Linked DNA regions of Coturnix japonica. The protein of the gene in region 2 purifies or fractionates together with the protein of the main gene of each other region. This does not show direct contact. Links are inferred from orthologs where the notes say so. Each region holds a gene or a part of one and is shown on either strand. Other genes may lie near its edges.

Evidence for each region. The genes of interacting proteins can lie anywhere in the genome.
Region 1: the proteins of RAD51AP1 (region 2) and WDR48 purify together in Homo sapiens (affinity purification with mass spectrometry; 5 studies listed by BioGRID and IntAct, counting the BioPlex papers as one, with this or other methods). This does not show direct contact. The link is inferred for Coturnix japonica from reciprocal best matches to the Homo sapiens genes RAD51AP1 and WDR48.

The regions. Positions count from the first base shown.
Region 1 is NC_029517.1:4,660,095-4,663,745, forward strand, and holds part of WDR48 (WD repeat-containing protein 48), read right to left. Parts: intron 2,080-3,651; coding exon 1,971-2,079; intron 1,588-1,970; coding exon 1,500-1,587; intron 934-1,499; coding exon 857-933; intron 585-856; coding exon 392-584; intron 1-391. UniProt on the Homo sapiens protein: Regulator of deubiquitinating complexes, which acts as a strong activator of USP1, USP12 and USP46. Enhances the USP1-mediated deubiquitination of FANCD2; USP1 being almost inactive by itself.
Region 2 is NC_029516.1:67,090,572-67,094,865, forward strand, and holds the start of RAD51AP1 (RAD51-associated protein 1), read right to left. Parts: upstream 2,837-4,294; 5' UTR 2,807-2,836; coding exon 2,730-2,806; intron 897-2,729; coding exon 847-896; intron 1-846. UniProt on the Homo sapiens protein: Structure-specific DNA-binding protein involved in DNA repair by promoting RAD51-mediated homologous recombination.

The sequences.
Region 1 (3,651 bases), on a different chromosome or scaffold from region 2:
CCTGTTTTGCTTGTGATGGTAATTAGTGAGTGATCTCCTCATCTTAACCTGAACTCTTGAGCCATCTTCCATCATATTTTTTCCTCTTCTTCCCTTAGGAAGCTGAGTAAGAGCAATGTGGGAGAGCTCAGCTGCCCATAGGTGTGAAACTACTGCATGATTCCATAAAGGCTGGTGGTCAAAACTGAATGAAACAGGCATACTTCATGAAATCCCTAGCCCAGCCATTCACTGCTGACTGAACTTGTGTCAGTTAACACAATGATATTTATTACTTTTAAAATGCAGCAGATAATCTGTGCATATTTCCATCTCAGTACTCAGAAATTCACAACAACTTCTGTGCTACAAGTTGGTTTTATTCATGAGCTAAAATTCCTGAGTGACTTACCTGGTCCTGGCAAAGAAGTTCAATTTTCTCCTCTGCGAGCACAGCAATGTCCTCCTCTTTTTCTTGTTCTCCTGCTTTTTCATTATTGGAAGAGCTAGTCGTTTGAGACTCGTTATCCAAGTTTATGATTTTCTCATACACATGCTCCATCACTTTCCTCACCTGAAGCATATCACTTGCTGACAGCCGGTCTCTACATAAGGTAAATAACGATTGGCAAGAGAGAACTTGAGGGAACTATTTCTTCTTTTCATGATACTCTATCTACAGCAAACTATGCAAACAATTAAATTTTGCACCTATCATAATATAGAAAGCTAAACAAGATCATACAAACAAAACACCACGACACAACAGCTACCCATCCAAAGACTGGCACAGAGGATCTCAGAAAACCAGTAGGATATTGGATATATCCAATTCCCTTTATGCAATGTTGAGACTCAAACACACACTATTACTTACTTTTTTAGAGTTTTTGCCCCTGAAGATGAATGAGGTTGGAGGTAGAAGGGAATCTTATTGAATTTGGGCATGTTTTTCTAGAAGGAAATACATTTGAAAAATGTTACATTTAGAATGAACTATTATCAGCTCCCATTTCCACCAGCTGGTAAGCAAAGTATAGTCAGTTCTTAATTATCAATAACCAAGATGTTGCTAATAAGCAGCTACCACAGACAGCCTCCAGATTACTCACACTCCTAATGTGCTCCAGTTTCAGTATATAACACACCACATCTTCCTTTTGAATGTAATTACTGCTCACGTACTGCTCACTTCAAAGGAAATCAATAATATGAAAACACAGCAGCAACGTAAAGGTCACTCTCTGTACCTGAGCTCTCTACTTGAAAAGGACGTCCATTACGCACAGTGATTTGAGCTCCTTTTCTAAGCCTTCAAGGCACAAAAAACTTTAACTGGGCACTTCAAAAGACAACGCTTATTCAAGGGTCTTGAGTACAGTCCTTGAGACCACTTATTTTAAAATACAGTATACGAAAGACAGAAAAATTGAACATGTCATTTGGATTGAGCTCAGTTAAAAGATTTTATGATTGACCTTCAACAAACAAAACCTGAAGTCTACACGTGGGAAACTTACATCCACAGTGATATCAATCACCCATTGTGGCACAGTCTCGTTCAGAAGCATAGACTCCGTTTCACCACCTGAATCCCGACACAATAACCTACGACACAGAGAAGACAGCTTTATGAATGGAAACGTTCAGTGTTCAGAAATCAATCATAACAATATATGCTAAAAGACGCTCAGGAAACGACGATGCATCCTTTCAATGTGTGTAGAGCTTGAAATTGGTTAGCTGGCCTTTCACAGGATTAAGCTTACTGAGGAGGTGGTCAGGTAATTCCTACCAAGGCCAAGAAGTGTAACTGCATGCAAAAAGGATCCCTAAGGCAGAAATAGGGAGACTACAGGCTGCAGCACAAACCATGACACTAGTTTGCATGTGGACTGCATGTGTTTTATGTTGTAAGCACTGACTGCAACTTACTGTTGGTAAACCAGGAAGTGTTTGGCCACTTTGTATATACTTCTGAGTTTCTGTACCTGAACAAAGTGCGTCCTCCAGCCTCACCAAATATAACTGGTGTATGTGGTGGTACTTGAAAATATCCATTTCCTTTCTGGACTCTGTTCTCCTGCTCACCATTCACTGCTGGGGAAAAAAGAAATACACCATTAAGATTATATTAGGCCTTAAAACTGGATGTATGTGGAACAAAAAAATATCTTCTCCATCTACAGTTAGCAATTTCATAAATGAAACAAAATCAGAAGCTTTGTAAAAGAAAGAAAAACCCAATTTCCAACACACAGCAAGTTTATCAGAAGGAACAGTAGAAAGTAAAGAGATTTTCAGAACTCTGAAAGATACCGGCTTTGTTTTTCTACACGGTTTTGAACAAAGTCAAGGTAGAGTACTAGTAGAGCTCAAATTCACACTTTAAGTGACTGCATTCTATATTCATTTAATTTTGGACAGTGTTAGGTCTTCAAACACTTGAAAAAATGACTCTACATCCATTCAAAATTATAAATTAAAAAATAAAAATAAAAAAATCAGCATTAATTATGCAATTTTTGAAGACTTTTTGTTATTCCAGTACCTTGTAACACAAGTTGTAAGTATTTAGATTCACATCTTTCATAAATAAAATCACATTAAGCAAAAAGCCCAAGAAAGAAAAACTATTATATATTAGAGAAGGAATGAATATAATTGCTAAGGTAGAGAAGGAGAGATGTCATATAGTTTGAAAGATTTCCTCATGGCAGTTCTGTTAACAACTGATAGTAACAATACAAGAAAGCTCTCATCTCTTTGAATGGTTACTTTTGAGAAGGAAAAGTGGAGCCTCTGATTCTGTAGTGAATGTTCTGAACATTTCACTAATCCATGACAACTCACAGAAATACACAGTGGAGCATAAATACACACCAAGGCTACAAAAGCCTGAGAATTACACTTCTATGCTGTCTGACTCCACAATTGAGGGCTGTCAATACACAGAAGTATGATAATCAGCAACTTTATCCAGAGAAGTCTGCTAAGTGCTGTAATGCTGCTTGGAGTTCACTTTTAAATGAGATTGTTAACCCTTGGCATCATCTTTGTCCCAGGATGACAAGAGTCCAATTAAGGAAATTGTTCAGTGCAGCAATATCTGTAGAAAGTAATTTCTTAATTGCCATTCATAGACAAGACATTTTAGTCAACTCTGACCTGGGCTGAATGCATTTCAAACTCTTTCAAAAACTTAAAAGAGTTTCACAGTCCCTCTCATTCTGCTTTAATTTAAAGATCATTCTAAGATAGCTTTGCACAGACTTACTATTATGTCAATATTCAATATATTTTTTTCCAAATATTTATTTGATATCATTCACAACATCAGAATGTATGCTGGAATTACACCAAGAATAATACCTAATATCAAATAACTGAATTACTGCTCTTTATTATCATTACCTAGACCATTTCTTTTCTTTTTCCAAACTGAGCCTTACTTCTGCCACTAATGGTTTTCTACCACGGCATCATGCTTCTCTAACTTAAGAACTACCTATTCACTTTTTATTTCCTTCTTCAGATTAGAATTCTTTGTATTTTTTTTTTTTGCTGGCATGTTAGGAAGAAAAAAAGCTGTTCAGCACCTTTTGACACAAAACAATTTCAAAGGCAGTAAATTACATTAAAAGCCATGATGCATGGAGAACTGTAAGACAG
Region 2 (4,294 bases):
TTCACAGTGCAAAATAAGGAAAAATACGATGTGTTTTCTAAATGCCATAGAACAGATACATGATACTTCTGAGATAAAAATCTAAGGGACAGAGGAAAACAAGCTTCCTTTTTTTTGTAGTATGACAAGTGGTCACTTAAAAAAAAAAAGTTACGAACTGTATTTAAACTTGTGAAACTCTGCATTAACTCACATGACTTACAAGGGATCTTCAATATCACTTAACTTTTCTTTCCCCTTCCTATCACTTCAAACTGTTCAGTGGATACCAAAAACTGACAAATAGCACAGGAAGATAGAAAAATAAACCAAATTCATGAAGGGAAATGATACAATACCCATTAGGGCTTAGAGGTAAAGGAGGATTGTCACGAAAACTAAGAGCCTACAATCTATTTTTCTTACCAATTCAACTCAAAATTTGATTGCTAAATTCTTATCCAAAATCCTTTAAGTTACAGAGCTGGATGAGAAATGTTAGACCTGTGCACAGCCAACTACATAACTCCCTTTACATTCTGATATGAAGTCTTGTGAAATGATCATCAGGAGGGCACAGAACAAGTAACTCTCTGAAAACTGAGGTAGGCAGAGAAACAGATTTTCCTGCAATCAAAAGACACAGTGCATTCAACAGATCCCTGGCAAACTGTTGTTATGCTTTGGCTTACAGAAATCATATTCTTGCTGAATTAGGATTTTCAACATGTTCAGTTTATATCCACTGAAAACAGTAATAGCCTTGTCACTTAACTAATGCATGAAAAAGAAGAACACTCTGCTGATACTTTAGGTTGTAGCATTAGCGCTTGGCATTTCAGTTATGTACAGAAATACACCACTTACCACCATCTTCAAAGTCCCCAAATTCTGAATAATTAACAATTTTCCTGTTCCTGTGGCAAAAGAACACAGTATTAGGCCCTTCGTATTGAGAATCCCTACTAGCTAATTCTTGATTTGGTTTGTATCATGTATTTAAGGAGAAAAGCAGCGTATGTCCAAATACATGTGTAACTATTACTATTGCATACAATATGGTTACTAAGAACAGAATAGCTTGGTTAGGAAGGGACAGTTCCAACCCCCACTTCTGAGCATAGGGACACCTCCATCAGATCAGGCTGCCCATTAGGCCTACTTTGGCTTCTCTGGGCAGCCTGTTTCAGTGCCTCACCACCCTCATGGTGAAGAATTCCTCCCTAATACTCAACCAAACCTACCCTCATGAAATTTGAAACAGTTTCCTCTTGTCTTCCTGAGAGTCCTATTCAGTTCTGTTGTACGCTCTTGTATGGGAAATTGGTAATCACAGCCTGAACCTCTGATTAATCAGCTGAGGCAAGTGTTAGGTCAGCTGCAGGAGCACAGGTGAGAGTAATTTAGCTGTGCTCCTGGAAGGGATGGAGCTCGACTCCACCTCCTCTAGACCTCATTTAAGGGCTGACCCCCACTGAGGCAGCATCTCTTGGAGATCACTCCCTGGTGGAGATTGCCTCAGCTTTTTCCAGCTAAGGCATTGATATTGGTGTGTTTCCCTTTACCTTTTGAATATTTACCATCTTTCATATTATCCACCCTTACAGCTCTCTTTAGGTGCTATTAGGCTACTATAGGGTCTTCCCAGAGTCTTCTTGTCCCCAGGCTGAACAAGCTAAACCCCCTGAAACTGCCTTACTCCTAAGTGCTCCAGCCCTGATATCTTCATGGCCCTCATCCAGACCTATTTCAACAGCTCTTCATCCTTCCCCTGTTGAGAGCCCCAAGCATCAACGCAGTTTTCCAGATGGGCCCTCGTGAATGCGGAGCTGAGGGCCCTGCCCTGTTGGCCATCCCTCATTTAATACAGCCCAGGGTACAGCTATCCCTCCTGGGCTGGAATTGCACACTGTTGGCACATGTTGGGACATGTTGGGTTTTTCATGAACAAACAATCCCAATCCTCTGCAGCGCTGCTCTCAATCCATTCATCTTCATTCCTGAATAGCTCCTAAGTAAGGGTTTTTGCACAGAATCACAGAATTGTAGGGGTTGGAAGGGACCTCTAGAGATCATCGAGTCCAACCCCCTGCCAAAGCAGGTTCTCTATACCATGTTGCACCGGTAGGTGTCCAGGTCTTGAATATCTCCAGAGAAGGAGACTCCACCACCTCCCTGGGCAGCCTGTTCCAGTGCTCCGTCACCCTCACTGTAAAGAAGTTCTTCTGCACATTCGTGCTGAACTTCCTATGCTGTAGTTTCATCCCATGTTGTTGTTTCCCTTATGGCAGCACACACACAACTCCTTGGAGATCGATTCCATTCCACGGTCACTTTCAGACCGAGGAGATGAGGCTGCACGTCACACAAGCGACGGGCAAATGCAGCGCGCGCGCGCCACAGGCTTTCGAAGAAAAACCAGCTCGGCGCCGTTCGGCTCACATCCCAACCCGCCTGAAGGAGGCACGGCAGCCATCACAGTATATACACACAGTATCACAGTCTTGGGCTGGTTGGAAGGGACCTTAGAGATCATCGAGTCCAACCCCCGGGATTCGAGCCTCTGTGTAGCAGGGCAGCACTTCGACCACTTGCGCCACAGGGAGGATTCGAACCCCAGTCTCCAGTGTTGCTAAGTGGCGTCCTTAACCACTGCGCCACCGGGGCACACACGGTCCGCACAACACGCACTTGTGCCCCTTGTCCCTCCGCGCGGCTCGGCCAGACCCGACCCCAGACCCGTCACCCACCTCCTCGCCATCCCGGCCATCGCCGCGGCAGCCGGCGACAGCCACCCGCCGTTGACGCTGCTCGCAGAACGGCACATTCGCCGCAAAGAGGAGGGGCGAAGGCAGCCGGTTCTACGGCGTCGAATCTGCGTCTGCGAATGTGAAACTACTGAAAGGAAGGGAGGAGGTCCCGGCGTCGGCCCTTCCCGGGCGGACACATTGAATTACCGCATCCAGAGCACAGGTGAGACATGGCGGAGCTGGATGCCCGCACCGCCTTGCTTTGTGGTGGGGTGCTGGCTCGCAGCTGGGCAGGGGGCTTTGTTCGCCCGGGGAACGCGTTACTGCAGACCCTTCTGCTCTTCCCTTCTGTCACCAACTGTTCTATGCGTTTTCAGTAATCAGAACTACTGCGGCCTCTCCTCTGAGCTTGGTAACTTTGAGCCTGAGGACAAAAACTGTTACCTTTTGTCTTATCTTTCAGCCTGGAGAAGAGAAGGTTGCGGGGTGACCTCATTGCAGCCTTTCAATACCTGAAGGGAACCTAAACCCGGGAGGGGAGTAAACTCTTTGAAAGGGCTGACAATAGCAGGACTAGGGGAAATGGATCCAAGTTAAAAGAGGGAAGATTTAGGTTGGATGTTAGGGGGAAGTTCTTCACTAGGAGAGTGGTTAGGCCCTGGAACAGGCTGCCCAGGGAGGTTGTGGATGCCCCGTCCTTGGAGGTGTTCAAGGCCAGGTTGGACGGGGCCCTGGGCAACCTGATCTAGTAAAGGTATATGTTTGGTGGCCCTGCCAGGCAGGGGGGTTGGAACTACATGATCCTTGAGGTCCCTTCCAACCTGGGTCATTCTGTGATTCTGTGATTATCGCTCCTGATAAAGAGTACCCACCCAGCTTCCTTGTCTGCTCCCTTTAGTCACTGCGGGGATGCTACAAGGTCTTCCTGGAGCCTTCTGTTCTCCAGGCAAGAAAATAAACAGCTCTCAGCCTGTCTTCATAGGAGAGATGCTTCAGCTCACTGATCATCCTTGTGCCCTTCTTCTGGATTTGCTCTAACAGGTGTATGTCTTTACAGTGCTGGGAGGCCCTGAATTGGATGCAGTATTCGGAGTTTTTTTCATTTTTGTCTTGTAGACAGCTCTCTTGTTTTTGTTTTGTTGTTTTTTTTCCCTGCTTTTTAATTAATTTATTTATTTATTTAATTTTAATTTTGTTTACTGTCTATCAGTGTATCCTTAGGCCCGTTTCAAAATGACTACGTAAGCTTCTTCTGGAAGTTACTGCTGTCTTCTCTTCCCCCCCTCCACAACTCTACCACCAGTGGAAGAGGCAGTAAAATCCTAATGCACTCCAGACTGTTTCACTTTTTGAGACACAGTTGTCTGCAATTGCAGTTTCTCAGTTAAAGACAGCTTTTCATGTCTTTTCCTTTTGTCTTGGTTCTACCTTTTAGTCACAATGTTTATACCGTACTTCATGAAAGTAAGTACCCTGATGCGCTCGATCCCAATTTGGAGTGACTCAGCGTTCTGGAGACTGGTATTCATTCTTCAGCTTCTACCTGTGTGTTTGGAAGCCAAAGT